Saccharomyces cerevisiae S288C: one gene and its partner. Changing the gene in region 2 together with the main gene of any one other region gives a genetic interaction. Each region holds a gene or a part of one and is shown on either strand. Other genes may lie near its edges.

Region 1 (7,792 bases), on a different chromosome or scaffold from region 2:
CATGCCTGGAAAGATTGCACACATTTTGTGATTCTCAGGATCCAAATTTGAGATATATTAGCTGCATATTGTTTTACAAGATCGGCAAAATCAATACTGATTTTATTTCTCGGTTCGACCAACTGATTATACGCTTACTCTCCGATGTCGACGTTTCTATAAGATCAAAAGCAATTGAATTGGTTGAAGGTATTGTTGATGAGGATAACTTAAAGGCAATTGTCCAAACATTGATGAAGCAATTTGTAGATGAAGATGTGGTTATCCTACAAACTGGAAGCATCGTATACGAAAAATCAAAGAGAATTCCCATAATAATTCCAGAAAATTACAAGATAAAAATGGTGAACGTCATTATATCGATTTGTTCAGCTGACAACTATTCCAGTGTTAACGACTTTGAATGGTACAATGCAGTAATAATGGACTTGGCGATGCTCTGTCAAGACATATCTGATAAAAGCCTTGGATCAAAAATTGGTGAACAGTTTAGGAATTTGATGATAAAAGTTCCTTCAATGAGAGAAGTAACCATTGCTAATATTATAAAGCTTATTTCAAATGACAATATTAACAAACAGTTGCCTACCGTATTGAGAGAATGCATTTGGTGTCTCGGAGAATTTTCTACCCTAGTTGAAAATGGTAACGACTTAATAAAAATCATGACTGAGAATATCAGTTATTATTCTCATAGTGTACAAGAAGTTTTAATTTTAGCACTTGTTAAAGTATTTAGTAATTGGTGTAATAACTTTCAGGAGGATAAACGCTTTGAAATTAAAATGGTGTTAAAAGAGCTAATTGAATTTTTTGAAAATTTATCTTATTCGAGTACATTCGAAGTCCAGGAAAGAAGCGTAGAAGTTTTAGAATTTTTAAGACTAAGTTTGGAGGCTTTAGAGGAGGATACGGAAGGTCTACCAATGCTACTGAGCGAAGTCCTGCCTAGTTTTTTTAACGCCTATGAACTCGCACCAATTGCGCGTGGGACTCAATTGAAGTTAGCAGTAGATGAGAATCTTGATCTAGAAACTCCATTTTTGACAAAGGAGGCAGCTGATGAACTCTTAGATGAACAAAAAAGTGACGCCATCAGTGATTTAATGTCTGATATCTCAATGGACGAGCAAGTTGAACTAAAATTCGTTGATGATTCTGATACTTCGTATGAAGAAAAGGAAAAATTGGATGATTTTGAAAATCCATTTGAGATTGAGAGAGAAAAGGAACGGATGTCAAATCCTTATTATCTAGGTGAAGAAGACGAAGAAAGAACTAAGAACTCTAAAGATTTGTTGGACTTGAATGAGGAGGAAAGTAGTGATAAAAAGCCAGAAACTATTAGATTAAATAGAACCGATAATTCGTTGAATTCTCTAAGTTTATCTACAACTGAAATCAGCAGAAAGAAGAAGAAGGGAAAGAAGAAAAATAGGGTTCAAGTCTTATCCGATGAACCTGTTATCGAAGCCGCTCCCAAAAGGAAAGATGCATTCCAGAAACCCCATGATAATCATTCAACTCAAAATCCTTTGAAAAAGGACAAGATTAATCTGAGAATGCACTCTCAACTTGAAAATTTTGATTTTTCCAATTTTGGGCAATCGAGTAACGCAGGAAGAGGATCGCAGGAAGAGGGCAACCTTAGAAAGGAAGACGAGTTAGAATTAAGTCGTTTAGAGGCCAATCTTATTGTAAAAGATGAAAAGGATAATTTAAGTGATACTGAAGAAGTTATAGTTATAAAAAAGAAGAAGAAAGGGAAAAAGTCAAAGTCAAAAAACAAACTAAAAACGAAAGCAAAAAATTCTCCAGAACCAAATGAATTTCTTCGAGACCAAAGCACTGACATTTAACGATAAAAAAATCGAAGTCGTGAATTCTCAATGACAGCGATTACGTACGTAAACTATAATTAATTTAAGTATTTTATTCTGCATAGTATATTATTGCGGTGCACTCAATTTGCCGAAAGAGACGGCATATTTAATAATGACGCGAATGAATCAAAGGCCGCCAAAGGTAATCATAGACCAGAGATGATTTGCAAAATTATTTGACATACTATTGCTAGTGTAACAATAACACAGCATAACTTTGCTTAGACATATATGTCATTTAAGGCAACTATCACCGAGTCGGGGAAGCAGAATATCTGGTTTCGTGCGATATATGTGTTATCTACAATTCAGGATGATATCAAGATTACAGTGACAACAAATGAGTTAATTGCTTGGTCAATGAACGAGACAGATACTACTCTTTGTCAGGTTAGGTTTCAGAAAAGCTTTTTTGAGGAGTATGAGTTTAAACCACATGAGATTGTATTTGGAGAAAATGGGGTTCAAGTTATAGAAGATACGTACGGCAATAGTCATAAGTTATACTCCTTCCGTGTTAATGGAAGACACCTAACAACTATATCAAGAAAGCCGGATGGTGATGGCATCAAATCATTCACAATTGCGGTAAACAACACTTCTACCTGTCCTGAATCACTTGCAAATAGATTGATTGTGGTGATTGAAATGGATTCGTTAATAGTCAAAGAATACTGTCCCCAATTCCAGCCAATAAAATACGATCCCATAATAATCAACCTTAAGTACAAAAGGAGGTTTTTGGATGTTTTTGGAACTGCTGCCTCCGATCGGAATCCACAGGAGCCCTTGGACCCTAAGCTATTGGACGTTTTTACAAATACAGAGCGTGAGCTAACATCAGCCTTATTTAACGAAGAAGTGGAATCAGACATACGTAAAAGGAATCAGTTAACGGCTGCTGATGAGATTAATTACATTTGTTGTAATTCAACTTTATTGAAGAATTTTTTAGACAACTGCAATGTTAATGTAACCGATGAAGTAAAATTGGAAATTAACGTACATAGGCTAAGCATAACTGCATTCACCAAGGCCGTCTACGGCAAAAATAACGACCTTTTAAGAAATGCGTTAAGCATGAGTAACACTATCAGTACGCTCGATCTTGAGCATTATTGCTTATTTACAACAATCGAAGATGAAAAACAAGATAAGCGATCACATAGTAAGCGTAGAGAGCATATGAAAAGTATAATATTCAAATTGAAGGACTTCAAAAACTTCATAACGATAGGTCCATCCTGGAAGACTACCCAGGACGGAAATGATAATATAAGTTTATGGTTTTGCCACCCAGGGGACCCTATTCTTATGCAAATGCAAAAACCGGGCGTAAAATTAGAATTGGTTGAAGTTACTGACAGTAACATTAACGATGATATTTTAGAAGGAAAATTCATAAAAACAGCAATCTCTGGCTCCAAAGAAGAGGCCGGACTGAAAGACAACAAAGAAAGCTGCGAAAGTCCATTAAAAAGCAAAACTGCTTTAAAGAGAGAAAACCTGCCACACTCTGTGGCTGGAACTCGAAACAGTCCTTTGAAAGTGTCGTATCTGACCCCTGATAATGGAAGCACAGTTGCTAAGACCTATAGAAATAACACGGCAAGAAAATTATTCGTGGAAGAACAAAGCCAAAGTACGAATTACGAACAAGATAAGCGGTTCCGGCAGGCTAGTTCAGTTCATATGAACATGAATCGGGAACAAAGTTTTGACATTGGTACGACTCATGAAGTGGCCTGTCCACGTAATGAGAGCAATTCTTTAAAAAGATCCATAGCAGATATTTGTAATGAAACTGAAGACCCCACCCAACAATCTACATTTGCAAAAAGGGCAGACACCACTGTGACATGGGGAAAAGCGTTACCAGCTGCAGATGATGAGGTTTCATGCAGCAATATCGATAGAAAAGGAATGCTCAAGAAAGAAAAATTGAAGCATATGCAAGGTCTGTTGAATTCCCAGAATGACACAAGTAATCACAAGAAACAGGACAATAAAGAGATGGAAGATGGGCTGGGTCTAACACAAGTAGAAAAGCCAAGGGGTATATTTGACTAAAACCATAATGCAAAATCAGTATAAAGGCGTGTAAATATTAGATGAAGTAGCAATTATCATGATAATATCGATCGCTGTTTTTTTTTTTTTTTCTGTCTCAATTTGGTGAGCGTGCGGCTGATGGTCCATCACGGTCGGGGAACAAACTAAAATTTTCAATAGCATAATATCTCTATATTGCATAGCTTTTTACTTAATAGGAACTTAAAAATTTCATTGATGCTATTATATTTAACTCATAAGTCAATCTCTTTTTCCATTTTGATTAGCTTATTGCGACATGGACTATGAATTATAATAACTTTGAAAATTCGAAGGGTGATGGACATTCTAGGCTTCCCAAACCTACATACTCCGGAACGCTATCAGATGGCTATGATGAATCGAAAATTAAAAGGCAAAAAACAGACTCTGCTTTTAATGCAGCTTACTCACCTCATATGTATCCGAACTCTCCGTATTATGAAGGTTCATGGAATACCGGTTATACTCCTCAACTTCATCATGTAGCCCCTCATAATCAATATTTCCATCCAATACAACCGTCCACTCAGTACAATTATACGAGTCCTCCCAATTATACAGAAAATTACATACCGCCAGTTCATCAGAATATATCTTATGCACCAGCGCTTAATTTACAGAAGTGGCCATCATCATATTGTGAAAACACTCAAGCCTTAAAGAATGATAAAGATTACCAAACATCAATTAGTTATGAAGATGTTGCAATACCGACCGTAAAGGAAATACAATTGATTGAGAAAAACAGAGGGAAAGATACGTTTATGAATGAAATAAGTCCAGTACCATCAAGCAAGGATCAAGCATCTGCGGAGCCTACAGAAATCCCAAGAAAGGATCCCGAGCTGGCAAATTCTAATGCCGAAGATGATCATAATAACTTAGGGCTAGAAGATGATGATCGTGATGAGCAGTTAGAATCAGAGGGGTTGGGTAAGGTGGTTTTGGTTCCTGGAACCTCCATAGCATTGATTACTGATGAAGATGTTAAAAAGTGGAGAGAAGAAAGAAAAAAAATGTGGCTACTGAAAATATCCAATAACAAACAGAAACATATGCAAGAAATGGGCATAAAGGAAGATGAACTGAAGAGCCAACCTAGCATTTTCAAAGAGTCAAGGAAAGAAAAGCAATTTATACAGAGTATTCAAAATCAAGTGCAGAGAGGAAATCCGAAGATTGACTTGAACTTGAAATTGATACAGCGAGAATTCGCAAACGAAAACTCCCAACTTTTGGACTTTATAAGAGAATTGGGAGATGTAGGATTACTTGAATATGAGCTATCTCAACAAGAAAAAGATGTACTTTTTGGGAGCTCTGAAGATAATAATAAAAATCATTACAAACCAAATTACAAAAACAGGAAACCTAATCTGAGTAGAGCCAACTTTACTAGAAATAAGTAATAGAATAGCAAATATTGATATACATGGAAGAGTACATGCAAAGGTGCGTAAAAAAAAATAAGTCAGATAAAACTAATTACTGTTTAGAAATCATGAGTATATGAAACTAATTTTGAAGAGCTTTAACTGCTAGGTTACTTAAAACAGTAGTTACAGCAGCACCAAGGAACGAACCGAAAATGGCACCTTGGTAAAATGAACCCTTATTCTCTCTCTGTACTTTACTTTCAGAAGCGTCTTTTTTCTTACTTTTCGTTCGTGATTTTGTGGAAGATGTTGTCGTTTTGTGCTTCCTGACTCTACCAGGCGACACAGCCTTCTTAATGTGTTGTTCATTATTAACTAATGACTTTTTATTAAGCGGTCCACCGTTTTTGGCTTTATTTATAACGAACCCATCAGCAGAGTTTGAACTTGCATCTGTCAGTTTATGCACTCTAAGTTTTTCTTGGTCGTTGTTTTTCTTCAGTGTAATCAATGCAGCGTTGTCTTCTTTCATTGCTGTCATTTTTTGGAGAAGTATTTATATATTTATTAGTTATTTAATGTGTTTATAAATTTATCTTGAGGCTGGTGAAATCTATTCCAAGTATTTTAAATATGTTTGCAAATGCGAGTCTACTACTTTGGTTCCATATGATGTCAGTTTTACAACAATTTATACTAGAGATAGCCAATATACTTGTTTCAGTTCTGTTTTGCCGTAATGGAATTATAGCTCCGACAAATGTAATCTTATGCACTGAAATTCAATCCATTGTGACAAGAATTATGTATTTTAGTTCTTATTTGATTTATTTCGACGCCTCGCGCGCGCTCTTAGAATCCGGCCCGACAAAGGATCTGAAACAAGTATAAATCAAATGGCCAATATAATGTCAAGCCTGTTTTATGTGGCAATGTTTAGACAGAAAATCACGCCTGTAGGGGTCCACATATCTCCAGAATAATTAGAGAGTCGGTGTCCTTATGAGATCTTCCTTAAAGCGAACAGATTGATTAATCATGTTTTACGCGAGGATATACGATAAAAACAAGTGAACAGCTCTTACATAACAACGCACTCACTTTTCTCTTTTTCAGAAGCTTTTGCATTGAGAAGGCTGCTTCTTCGCTTAAACTTGTCTTTTTTGACTGGTGCGTGTATTTCTGAGTTTTTTTTGTGAGAATGGATTTTCCTTTTTGCTTCAAATTTCGTAACACGTTCTTGTTCTTGTTCCTGTAACTGTTTGGCTAGTTCTTTATCGTTTTCAATTTGCTGAATTTCTTCAAGTAGCAAATTTCCAGTTCCAAAATCACGTTCAATGTCAGTTGACAATTGCTGTCCATTTACCTCTGCTGCACTAAAGTTACCGGCAAAAAAAGCATCGCAGGAGCCGTCCACCGAATCTAGGGATTGCCATACAATATCTTTACAATTTTTATAACCAAAGTCCGTAACCAATGTGTATAATCGATCTTCGTATTTGAACAATGTAGAAAAATGGTCATTTCTGAATAAAATGGAGAATTTGTTGTGTAGCAGCTTTTCTCTCAATCGTAGGAGTCCAAAGGCGGTCAACTGAGTCGGTGATTCGTTCAAAAACAGACCCAAATGCATGGCATCACGTAAAACTTCGTCCGAGTTTTCATCTTGGGAAATTCCACAATTTATATCAGCTGCTTGTGTTAAGATTCTCTGCGCAGATTCATAAGAATAATGAGATAGTTTCTCATCAATGTTTTCATTTATGAAACTGTTGATAACCCAGCCATGGACAACATCAACGTTAAACAATCGAAATATTGACATCTCTTTAGTATTTTCAAAAGACCCATTAAACTCAGGGTTAATATTTAAACCTTCATGTAATCTAGGTAACAAACTTAGTAACTCACTTATATCAGTACTAGGTTTATCTGTAACTTGTAAAGCGATATCTGCTAAGACTTCAATAAGTTCTTTTAAAGATATTTGACTTCCCTTATTTACCAACCTTATTAACTCATTGGAAAAACGTGTATGATCTGGTGAAAGTATTAGAATATTTGCAAGTGCTAACAAGGCACAAGGTCCGTTTTCGTTTTGCAGTAATATTCGATGGTTTTGACCATTAATTTTGACACTTTTAGTCGTGAAACTTAAATCCATGAAAAGATATTGCAATAAACAAGAATTGCAGTGATGTGAATCTACTTTGAGCTGTTCTTTAAAGCGCCTTGTAGAATGGGCATTTTGTCCAACGTTTTCAAGACCCTTTTTTCGTACTGCTCGCTGTTAATACTGCGAAACTAAAATAAACGACAGGCAGATGACTAAAACAAATCAAACAAGAACCTCTAGGGAAAGGTGTCCTAAGCGCGGAACTTCTTTTCGTTATGGGGTAAATAGAGCGGTACTTAATAATCTGTTTACAAAGCAATTTT
Region 2 (12,697 bases):
GGTAAGGGTAGGTATAAAGGTCAGCTCAGTACACGTATATCGTGTGAGTTATCTTTATTAAAATAATGATTCCAGAATAAGCGATGAGAGAGTAACGCTATTGGAATATGATATGGGAAATATCTTGAAACAATTTCAATAATTTGTCCATGTTTATGCAGTGTTGTACAAGCGTTTTTAAAGAAACTGTATAATATTCAAGATAGCGGGCGCCTCAACCGCTGTTTTGCTCCTCTTTTCTCTTGGAACTCTTGCCAAGAAAGATGTACGCCTTATAAAACGCTAGATGCTATTTCTTGCAACTTTATTACAAAATTTCAGCACTATTTCTTGCAATCCTAGATGTTTCCCTGTCTTCTATCTTCGATGTTAATTTAGACGTTTCTTCAAAGATTCAAGTTCTCTTTTATTGTACTATGTGTGGCAAAAAAAAAAGAAAACCAAAAAATGCAAAAACTAAGATAAATCTACGTACTGCGAAGAATAGCAAGGCAGACTAATAAGCGCACAATACAATGCCTATGGTTACCGTGAAGTATAACTTCCAACTTTTCAAATGTAAAGTTTCGTTGAATTCAACACTAAACGATGTGTTACACCAATCCATACAATTCTTTCAACTGCACACCTCGTCAAACGACTGGTCATTGATACATTTGGATAAACCGGTGCCATTAGATTTGCCATGGAGGCTTCTAAACTTACCAACGGGTGTCAACTTAGAATTATCTAAAAGTAGTAATTTTCCGGTGGCGAATAAGACCAACCGCGAAGATATTCCATTCAATACGATCAAAATACGGTTTCAAATCCCAGGAAGAGATTCCGTGGTTAAAGAAATGCCATCTGACCAACCAATTGCCCCTATCTTGCGACAGATGAGCGGCGCTGCGGGAGATGATTTTAAGATCCAGGTCTTTTCCAAGATAATAGAGTTCAAAACAATTAAGGATGAGAATTTGACTCTCGAAAATTTAGGGATTCAGGAGCCTTCGTCAGTTAGATTGATTTTTAATAATACATCTCATTCTGAGGGCATTAGCGCTAATAGCGCTATTCACCCAAAACAAACTCCCCCTACGATGACGAACCCGGAAACGGTTGCTTCACTACCACCTCACGAACTACATAAACCTTCTGTGTTTTTGCCCTCGGATGAGCCATTAGCAGTTATCAAGGATCAAATCGAGGATGAAGAAGATTATGAATTGACAGTAGAACAAGCCAAGAAATACCAAAAAATGTTATCATCGAAGGCTGGTACTTTGGGTGGTCCTATTTTGACAAAGAGACTTAGAGAGCAATCAGCCAACAACTTGCCAAAGAAAAATAAGGCTATATCTGAGTGTTTGCTGAGAGTCAAGTTCCCCGATAGAAGCCATATTCAAATAGCATTCAAACCCAATGAAGACATGCGTACAGTTTATAACGTCGTGTCGCAGTTCCTGATCGATGAGAACATGCCTTTTACGTTAAACCAATCTCATCCTTTCAAACCCTTGGCTAAAGACGATAAGAAGCTACTGGATGACCTGGAATTTGGCTCTAAAACAATGCTGCTTTTTGAAACAAATTCAAATTCTAATGGCCCATTAATAAAGGCTCATCTTTTGGAAGACGCACAAAAAATCACACACGAAACGAGGACAACCCCATCAGTTAATACGATAAATAAATCCAATCCACAGGGCCCTTCTGATAACGCTACAAGTATCAAAAAGACTTTAAATAGAGTACCTAAATGGATGAAATTAAGTAAAAAATAAATACAAAGCTAAACAGTCTCCTCTTTTAACTTTATTACAAATATGTACACGTATAGCTAAAATTATATAAAATGCATCCGTTTTTTTAGGCTTTTATCTTTAACTTATTTACATCTTCTATTAATTCTTCGAGTAAAGTAAACTCTGTTCCTAATTCTTTAAAAGCATCTTCTACCATCAAGAAAGTAGAACAATCACTTTTTTCCTTCCATTTTATAAAGATCAAAATCTCCCTGATCAAATGGGATATTGTATTCTCTTGATTTGTACCCTGTGGAATGTTTTTTAAGATTGACTCATTATTCATTAGCTCCGCCTTCCGTAACTTGTACTCACAAGCATCTTTACTGATGTTACTAATATCTCGTAAATATTGTCTTTTCAAACCCTTTAGAATATACATACTCAAATCGTAATCAATATTCAAGTCAAATTTTTTCGTTAGAAACGTTAATATGGCAGGTATTGCTTCTAAATCCCCGCTTTTCATGAACGTGGACACAATTAATTTAGAAAAAGTTTTGTCTGGCAAAATTTCACCATTTTCTGCCGTCATTTGGAACAATACTCTTGGGTGACAAGTTGGGTGAATCTTTATCTGCCTTTTTATTAATTTCTTTACAATGGACGACTTTTTCGATAAAATCCTAGAATTATTTTGTAAAACATGATAATAATGGCAATACACAGACCAAATCTTGTGGTACAGCGGTTTTGTTATGATGCGACGGTTGTAAAATCGGCAAGGGTTTGAGGTGGATAATGAAGACTCAGAGCTCACCTGTTGTTTGGATTCAAGTAGCGGATTGATGATCTCAAAACTTGAATTAAAGTCATACATGCTATCATAAAAATTGAGTATTTCTCTCAAAAAAACAGCATTTGGGATAACCTCTGACTCCTGCATTCTTTTTAAAAGTGACTTCACTTTCTGCTTAAATTCCTTTTTTCTAAATGAGGGCGTATTTTGTGCCTTCATATTTTGAATTTGAAGACTATAAAATTCAACAAATTTAGCGTAATGATATGCATTAACTTCCGAATAAAACTGATTATAGAGTAAATCTGGATCTGTTTTTGATTTCTTTGAGGCTTCTTCTAGTTTTTTTAAGATATTATATGCTTTTTCTTCTTCACCTGTACCGAGAAGTATGTTCAACAAGCCATTAAACTTTCTGGAACGTGACACACTGTTTAATTCCATCCACTGTCCAGAAGCCTGTTTAGTAATGAACTCTTCCAGAAAATCAGTTAATACAATACTTTTTGTTAAGGCCGAAACATTCTCAAACAGCAATTCATTGTATATTGGAGAATTAGTGTTATACTTAGTAATAACGCTCTCAAATGCCTCTTGCAACATTTTCACATTATTCTCAGGCACTACATAATCTTTATTTTGAGCAAAAATGTTTCGTAGCTTTTCAAAATCTTTCAACATATTTAGCTTGGTTTTAACAAGTAGAAATGCGGCATCTTCTTGTGTCGTTCCAGGTATTTCCATGTACTTGCTGATAAGTTGAGCCGCCATGGGAATATTTCTCTTATAAAGATGGAAATCAACAATGCTGATATAATCATGATCCGATGGTATTTCTAGTTCATTTAAGAACTCAGTTGCATGTTTCTCATTCTGAAAATTTTTAACTCCCGTGGGAAGTTCCTCCTGCTCATCTTTCATTCTGATTATTCCAACTTCTTCCACTAACTTAATAAATCGATCAGTCAGTATATTAGCTTCAGTAACATTGCCAATCGACAAATATTTTCGTATGCTCAATTTGGTAACTCTTGGGCTCAAATAAGAATACTTTGTTGAGTACTTTGCATCTGTCTCGGCTAAAAGTTTCCTGAAGTTTCTCAAGTGGTTAGACCTTAATGTGATCATTAATCCTAGTTCATTCCACCAGCGCTCGTTTACTTTGTCTTTATTGGTAATAAATAAACTGTATGCAGCCTTATAGTTTCCAAAAACTAGTAGGGATTCAATATAGAATGACTCATTTATAGGATCTAAACGAACTTTCCCTGTGCCATAAAGTAAATTTCCGACCAAGTAAATCCCTTTCTCCTTCATTTCTTGCACTGGTATCAATTTAACAACTTCAAAAGCTTGAGCAAGTTGGCTGAATGTGACCATTTCTGTTATTGACTCTTTCGGTTTGATTATGCCATTAAACCGTTCATTAAAACTTTTCAAAATCTCCAGTAAAAATGATGTACTCCTTAACGGTATATGGCCCTCTTGATCTTCAAATTGTTCTTGTGCTGATCGGAAAATATCGTTCATTATGGATTGCTCTAAGTCATCTTCATTTCCTTTCTCTTCATTGTATACCTGGGTTTGGCCGGTCGTGTTCAATCTTTTGATTTCTAAATCACACTCTTCGAGCAAATAATTGAAAACTGCATTAATTTTTACGGTGCTATTAGAGTCCTTGCTTTCTAAGGTTTTTTTTAATCTGTTTAAATTCTTGTTACTTCTTTTAAAGTTAGTTTCATTACAAAATTTCAGATATTGAATGAACGTTTCCTGGATAGTATCAAGAGGATTGATCTCCTGAAATTTCTTATTACTGAGAAGATTATTTTCGATTTCCTCTGATGTTTTTCCTTTCAAAATGAGACATTTTTCTGGTTCGTCTGGCCCTATGATGGTCTTATTAAGAACTTCAGGTATATGGGAGGCATAATTCAATGGCGCCCGCTTCAATCTATAAAAACGAATCTGAGACTTTGCTATCAAAGCGCTGCTACAGAGTGAGCGGTTGTATTTGAACATGAGTTATAAATATAGTATGGCCTTGTTTAATACGTTACTACTACCTAATGAATACTACCTGTGCCCATGATATAGAATCTCAAGATCTTTTTGCTTCGTCTTCAATGATAAAGCTGTAGGTGCTGCACTCGAACTCTCTTAAGCAAATTAACTTGGATAGTGACGTAGGACACCTTCTCTAGGTTCACTTGCCCGTATTATGGCCACCATGATCCGGTGTCCTTGAATTTTTAAAGAATATTTATTTTGCTAGACTTTGAATGCGGCTATATACCTATACATCTATGTATATATAGGCTTTCATATATTGTTACATCGGTAATGTTAAAAATCAATCAATGAGCCAGTCTTAGCTCCTAGATAAATTGAAAGTAGAAGAGCTGCCCATTGGTAATAGCGTTTAATAGGAATCATTTTGACGTTTACTCGAGACGTACGGTATTTTGACCAAATCCACACAACGGAGCACAGTAACCAGTAGTATTTATTCTTGACTGCAAGGTACCCACATCTTATAATCATTTTACTAGTTTTCCACATAAAATCCAATACCCTCATCATTGTCATGACATTTTTATGGACAAGTGAGACTCTGATTTCAATGTCGTCTAATTTTTTTTTTGTGCCATTCAGTTTCTCTGAAATATCATTAAAAGTTGAAAAAATCTCCTCATTCCATAAAGCAAAATCTCCATTTAGTGTAGATGTTATAGCTGTCCATTCTTGTAGTAAGGTATTTTTGAAGTTCGTCATCTCAGGTACTATCTCATCCGTCATGGATGGTAACAATGAATCATGAAGGATGGAATTGAACCCTTGCAAGAGCTCTATAGCTTCCATTTGTGATTCAGAAAGATCCTTTGACATGCCTCCTAACTGTTTTTTTAAACCCATCGAGAAGTTTTCCAACTCGGTATTAACTAACTTGTTATTTCTAGAGTAATATTCTTTTACGTCGTTGGACATTTCCACTAGGTCCTGTAAATTATTCAGGCTGTCGTCCTTCAAGTCATTTATCTTAGATTTTATGTCATTTTTAGCAAGCTCATCGGCTAGATCGCTCATAATATGATGGACGGTATCAACTTCATTCATTAGTTGACTGTTCTTCTCTATGATTTGGACCTCTAGTTGTTCGGAAGTTTCATAGAGTACATCATTCACTTTATTTCTAAAAAATGAGAGGTCGTTTTCTAAGATTATTCGATTGCTTTCGGTCGCATTTCGCAGTTCATTGTCATAGTTGCGGAACATCCTGGCCAGATCGTCCAAAAAATTTTGAGAATCTTGCTCCATTTGAAACATCAGATGATTTAACTTAGTATCGACATCATCCCCAAATGAATCATAAAGTTCAGTGATATTTAGAAAAAGTTTCAGTATCTGTTCTTTTTCAAAAGGAAGAAGATTTTCATAACAAATACTCGATAGTCGCTGATAATTTCCACTATAAGTTGTCCACCACTGTGAAGATGATTCTAGTTCAAACATACAATCCATCATTGATCCTAGGTCGTCAACCATGCAATTTTCTGGTATTTCGCCCAAGCCAGATGCCTGAAACTCGCATATTGAAAGTTTAATGGCCGTTTCTACCCTTGTTTCAGCGTCAATGGATTCAAGTCCATTTGCAATACATTGTGGCAAAAATAATTTTAGTGCGTCTTTAACACATGTTGATTTCAAGAATGGAAATTTGGATTCTAATACATTTGTCGCAACGGAATTATCTGTGTATATCAATCTTCCTTGCAGCAGATTGTTGATTTTTCCTAGTTCGGAGCTTGAAACAAACTTAATACAAATTGCAAACAAATAGACGTAGCGCATTTCAAACATTCAAAGTTTTTGAATAGAAACAGTTGTTGAACCAGAATATGTATACTTCATTGGTATTCCGAACCAGTGTTTATATATAGAAAATTTGTTCAGGATTAATCCCAAACAATTATGATAAAACAACCCGCTAGTGTGACACAGTTACAGTACGTATTCTTATTTACATTGTTTATTTGCGTGGAATGCGCAATTCCCTTTGCAGTGAGTTGCTCTTATGCTGCCTTTTTTTTAATATAGACGATTTATGGGCGTAAAGCTTCTCGTTCAGTGCAATTCAAATATTTCTCGATGAAGTACTTTTTAAATTCCTTATTATAACCTACAGCGCCCGTATTCTTAAGCGCGTGATTTCTCTCACTATTTTTGAGAGCCCTAATAATTTGTAGTTGGTATTTATGACTTAGTTTGATCTTATATGTATCTATCATATGAGCCATCATAGTGTAATTTCCTTGAAGTGCAAAAGACAGTATAAATTTCTCCACGAATTCGCTGGGCACGTTTTGTCCATATATTGGGCTCACTATATTGAAAACAGTGGATAGATTTCCGGAGTTGATCATTGGATCTTTAGTAAATGTTAATACTTTTTTGATAAAAATAGGTAAGGTGCTATCCACAGCCCGTTTTGCGTTATTGGATTTTCGAATAATATTTAGCAGAGAACACAATTCGTCGAAATGCCGGCACATAGGTATCAAAAATTTGAACAGGTCTATTGTTCCATAATTTTCTATTATGGGTGCAAGATCTGCTATGAATGCAAATTTGGATCTTATATCAAAAATCTTAGTGCTTTTATCGAAATGAACATCAATTGCCTCCAAATATCTATTAATGATAGTAGCCTCTGGTAAAATACCCTTTTTTATTAAATGGCCCAAAAAATTTTTGCTTTCATTCAAATTGCCGGTTTTAATGAAATATGATAATAGTTGTTCAATTACTATTGGGTGCAATGAATTTTCGCAACGCCCTGGAAAAAATCTGTTGTTGATCGCTGCCAATAGGTTTTCTAGTGCGGTAACCAATGTGGGACTGTACGGTGGGTTTTCATTTGCTTCCACTTTACAAAGGATATTATATAAAATAATGTTCATGGCCTTCATTTGGTCTAAACGTGAATATAATTGCATCTCAGTAACATTTATTAGTAGTATAAGTTTTTCAGTCGAGTTTCCATAATTCTTTATCAAATAAGCCAGTATATTCTCGCAAAATAATCTTGTCTGTTTACTGTCGCGGTCAAAAATATTCTGTAGTTCATTATTTACGGACTCGACCCTGGATTGCAAATCATTCGTGTTTTCAATCTCTGATAATATATTTTCAAGACCTCTTAATTTGGCAATATCGGTTGAAGACAAATGCAGAACGTGAAAAGATCTAACGCTTTTGCTCGCAGGTGTAAGTACAATATTTCTTTGATGTTGTCGTCTTGCAACGAATTCCATCAACCATTTATTCACTCCCCTAATATCATCAAACTTTAATTTGCTATCAACTAGTATGGTTTTTAGGCTCACCGGGTGTTTTATCAGTGATGGAGCAATTTTTTTGCCATCAAGCAGGCTAGGATTGTATTCCGTAGCGCATGCCGTGAATTGTTCTATTGCTGTTGGTTGGTAAAATGGGTGAATTATTTCTTCCGGATGAGGAACTTTATCGGCATGTTTAATGATCTTTCGACCGTCCGCTACTAAAGGAGTCTTTTTAAGTACTGGGTACCATTTGCGAGATTGCATCCTAATGAAGCACAGGTTTCTCCATTTGCTGATTTCTTGCACTGTAGTAATCATTTTCTAAGACCCTTAACAGATAGTGATGGAGGAAGAAAAAAATGTACAAATATTTGGAAGCCGATTGGCAAACCGATGTAACGTGCAAAATGACACATGATGTTACTTATTCAATGAACCCTCTATATGTCACTTCTGGAGCAATCAGACTATCTGTATGTGTTGGAGCCACTTCATATTCTGAGCTATTGCCGTTCTGTTTACTCTGGTAAATGTCGGAAATTGAGTACTGTTCCATTGAGCACGCATGCGCAATTGACTGTTGCGATTCATATTTTTTGACTGACACAACTCTTCTCATGACCCACAGCATGGAACAACAAAGTGCTACGCTAATAGTAGCGGCTAGCATTAGCCAGCCGGGCCAGTCCAGTTTGGAGATGAACAGAAGAATATCTACCAAAAAACATAAAAGACATAGCATGAACGTTGGCAGCGAAAAAAGGGCCGTGAACAATAACATCTCAGGTGAGTCCCCTAGTGGAGTTACCATGATAATCACTGCTAAAATTAATAGCGTTCCTGTGAATGCCAGTGAAATCGGGTGAACCACTAATAAATTGGAGACGACCACTTTTGAGTTCGATGGCAGGGTCAAAACGTGCCCGGAGGAGTCGACATCTGTACTGTCATATCCTATCTTCATTTTCGTGCACATCAATTCTTGGTTTTGACCACGTACACACCAGCCAAACAGGCCATAATAGTGGTTTCTGAATGACGATAACGATAGGTACTTGGTCACGGGGACGGTTATTAGCGGAAGTATTTCGAACATGGTTGTGATTGCTAGCAAAAACACCACAATATGGATCATGCTAACCATTCTCCTCTTTTCCTCAATGAATCTGTCTCAACCGTATAAATCTTTGTTTAGAAGGACGTCTCTACTCATTTCCCGGTTCTCAACGCTCATCACTATCTATCTATATTCATTGTTTCTTAGCTTATACTTGCGCGCGCCGCTGGTGAAAATCAAACTATAGCGAGATTCGACAATAAATTGGCAGTTACTTTTAGTGATAAAGAAAAGTCATGTTTTGTATATAGTCATAGCATGCTGTGTTGTAAATGTGATCTGTCTGAGACGTGTCAGTAGATCATAAATTTACAAACATTAAAATACATTTTTCATCGCTGTATAGCAAAAGTAATCTTATACTTTGTTGGTATGCTGAAGTAAAACACAGGGCTCTTGGCTTCACCCCCACGCTGTATCATAGAATAAAGAGAGTAGTGATGCAATAGGGCCGTGGTTAGACCCAAATTGAAGGTAGCGTTGATAGTAGTACTAAGTGAGAGTGCTTAGCAATCATTATTGACGGTGTTTTCTTGGCGAAGGTCTTTTTCTACTGCGATGGACAGGTAGGATGACTCACTGCGTAATTCGTTGCCAACTTCTTTAGTCGTCGAGTATATAAAAGCCTCATCCTCGGCTCGCCGCACAAAGGTGACGATTTTTGGGCTAGTATCAGCAATACTTCTATTCCCTTTATTTAAAGAAGTCCAAAATTCAACATAGCATGAGAATATCATCAACATTGCTTCAACGCTCGAAGCAGCTTATAGATAAGTATGCATTATACGTGCCCAAGACGGGCTCTTTTCCTAAAGGATTTGAAGTAGGCTACACTGCATCTGGAGTCAAAAAAAACGGGAGCCTGGACCTGGGTGTAATCTTGAATACCAATAAATCTCGTCCTTCAACCGCAGCAGCTGTTTTCACGACCAATAAATTCAAAGCTGCGCCAGTTTTGACATCGAAAAAAGTCCTTGAAACTGCTCGTGGTAAAAACATCAACGCTATTGTAGTCAATTCCGGTTGTGCTAACTCGGTCACAGGTGATCTTGGTATGAAAGATGCCCAAGTAATGATTGATTTGGTTAACGATAAAATTGGTCAAAAAAATTCTACCCTAGTCATGTCTACAGGCGTTATTGGACAACGACTACAGATGGACAAGATCAGCACTGGTATCAATAAAATTTTTGGAGAAGAAAAGTTCGGCAGTGATTTTAACTCTTGGTTGAACGTAGCCAAATCAATCTGTACTACTGATACTTTCCCAAAATTAGTTACATCTAGATTCAAATTACCTAGTGGTACTGAGTATACTTTGACAGGTATGGCAAAGGGCGCGGGTATGATTTGTCCGAATATGGCTACCTTATTAGGTTTCATAGTTACAGATCTTCCTATTGAAAGCAAGGCGTTGCAGAAGATGCTGACTTTCGCTACTACCCGTTCATTTAATTGTATATCGGTGGACGGTGATATGAGCACCAATGACACAATTTGCATGTTGGCCAACGGTGCTATTGACACCAAAGAAATTAACGAAGACTCTAAAGATTTTGAACAAGTAAAATTGCAGGTCACAGAATTTGCTCAGCGCTTGGCCCAGTTAGTCGTTCGCGATGGTGAAGGTTCGACAAAGTTTGTTACTGTTAACGTTAAAAATGCTTTGCATTTTGAAGACGCCAAAATAATTGCTGAATCAATCTCAAACTCTATGTTGGTCAAAACCGCACTATATGGGCAAGATGCCAATTGGGGAAGAATATTGTGCGCGATCGGGTATGCAAAGCTGAATGACTTAAAATCTCTAGATGTCAACAAAATTAATGTTAGCTTTATTGCTACCGACAATTCAGAACCTCGTGAGCTGAAGCTTGTCGCTAATGGTGTGCCACAATTGGAGATCGATGAAACAAGGGCTTCTGAAATATTGGCTTTGAATGATTTGGAAGTGTCTGTCGACTTGGGAACCGGTGATCAGGCAGCACAATTTTGGACTTGTGATTTATCACATGAATATGTAACAATTAACGGTGATTACCGTTCATAAATTCATGTATATTTTGTTCAATCTTTCTTTTATAAGCATGGTTATATAAACGCACAGAAACAGAGTGTTTCCTGTACCTTCTGAATGAGTTTGGCTATTGCCATATTTTTGAAAGAATTAACTATTTCCGTTTTTATTTATGTACGAGGCACCTTAACTATCCTGTCACATCGTTTTTTTTTTACTTAATTACATACAGAGGTTCGCCTATTATAATAGATGTGTTGGTATAAATATTCATATATACCTATTTATTAACGTAATGTTAACCTGACTTGGTGCTCTCAACTGTTGGAATCTCTACTTGATCATTTAAAAAATTCACCAATTTCTGCGCATCGAGTAAATTTGTATTAAAATATTGACGTTTTGGTATAACGCTCAATAAATCAAGAACCTCTGTTGGAAGCTCTGAGTCTCTTTTGAATTTCTTATTGGAGAAGTTTCCATTGTTTCCAGTTTCCTCCATTAGTCTCTTTCTATCTGACGAACTCATATTGTAAGAGCCATGATGGCCATCCCCGTTTCCAGAAGAAAAGTAACTGTCTTCTTCCTCATTATACATATAAGTTAACTCTAATTTCTTTATTAAGTTGGAGTTTTGAATTTGATAACGACTTGTGAAAACTTCAATCAAATTTTCTTGGGGGAACCGTTCGAAAAATCTTTTCTCTAGAGAATAAACGTTGTTTAAGTTACCGAATTTCGATTCATAACTTATCATTTTCTTGTATATTTCCTTCAGCTGGGTTAAATCTTGCACTTTTTCCACTGATGTTTCAAATAAGGTTTTGATCTGCGAATCCTTATTTAAAAATATTAAAAAATCTAAGTATTTGTTGATATAAACTCCATCGTTTTGGAAGTATTTTAAACCCAATTCTAAAACCTTAAAAGCAGTCTTATAATCGTTTTGATTTTGAAATTCTAAATATGCATTTTCCACGTAGACGTCATGTGTTAATATACGCTTCAGTTTACGACATTTACCAAATACAGTACGTGCTGCGGATAGTCCTGATATTCTTTTCATCGTATTCATATACACGCAAAACACGAATGTTAATTTTTCCCTCTGTTTGTATAGCAGCTCTTGTTCATACTCTGTGTTATTATCTTCACCCGAATTTACATCGGAGGCGATCTTTTTATACTGCGATAGTAAAGTTTGAGTGCACTTGTCAAAACAGTTAGAAACACTTTCAGAATCATTATCCAGTTCGTAGCATTCGGATAACTTGAATGTAAGAGAAGGTGAGTCGGGATTAGCTAATAACGCAGTATATAAGATATTTTGTCGATCCGAATTTTCAGATATATACATTGAATAATCGTACCACATTTCAGCAGAAAATATCATGTATTGAATACCTTGTTTATAAACGTAACTGATTCTTTGTGATAGCATATCTTCACTAAGCATCAACTTATTCTCCCTTTCCCATTTTATCCAATTCAACCAAATCTGTAACTGCTGAATGTTTGAGTCTGAGGTACCTGGTTGTGGTATGTTTTTCTTGTTTGCTGTGCGCAGATTAATTGGAGATGCCCTTTTCAATCCATTAGTAACGTTCAACCATTCCTGGTATAAGGAACGGGCTTTCATGTATTCGGCTGATAACTCGCCAATAAATTTTCTGGCTGTTAGGGAATTTATTTCTT

Evidence for each region.
Region 1: mutations in KAR5 (region 2) and PRM3 together harm fitness more than expected from each alone (negative genetic interaction), as found in Saccharomyces cerevisiae (2 studies listed by BioGRID).

What each region holds. Positions count from the first base shown.
Region 1 is NC_001148.4:177,163-184,954, forward strand, and holds PRM3 (pheromone-regulated protein PRM3), read right to left. Parts: upstream 5,895-7,792; coding exon 5,493-5,894; downstream 1-5,492. Other genes in the region: APL5 (Apl5p), read left to right, coding at 1-1,859; DDC1 (Ddc1p), read left to right, coding at 2,115-3,953; RSA1 (Rsa1p), read left to right, coding at 4,241-5,386; MIY2 (ubiquitinyl hydrolase 1), read right to left, coding at 6,435-7,517. UniProt on the Saccharomyces cerevisiae protein: Required for the fusion of nuclear envelopes during mating, ensuring proper karyogamy. Plays a role in the initiation of outer nuclear envelope fusion.
Region 2 is NC_001145.3:393,392-406,088, reverse strand, and holds KAR5 (Kar5p), read right to left. Parts: upstream 6,388-12,697; coding exon 4,873-6,387; downstream 1-4,872. Other genes in the region: UBX4 (Ubx4p), read left to right, coding at 516-1,766; SOV1 (Sov1p), read right to left, coding at 1,852-4,548; AEP1 (Aep1p), read right to left, coding at 6,630-8,186; RIM9 (Rim9p), read right to left, coding at 8,293-9,012; ARG7 (glutamate N-acetyltransferase), read left to right, coding at 9,710-11,035; cleavage polyadenylation factor subunit RNA14, read right to left, coding at 11,301-12,697.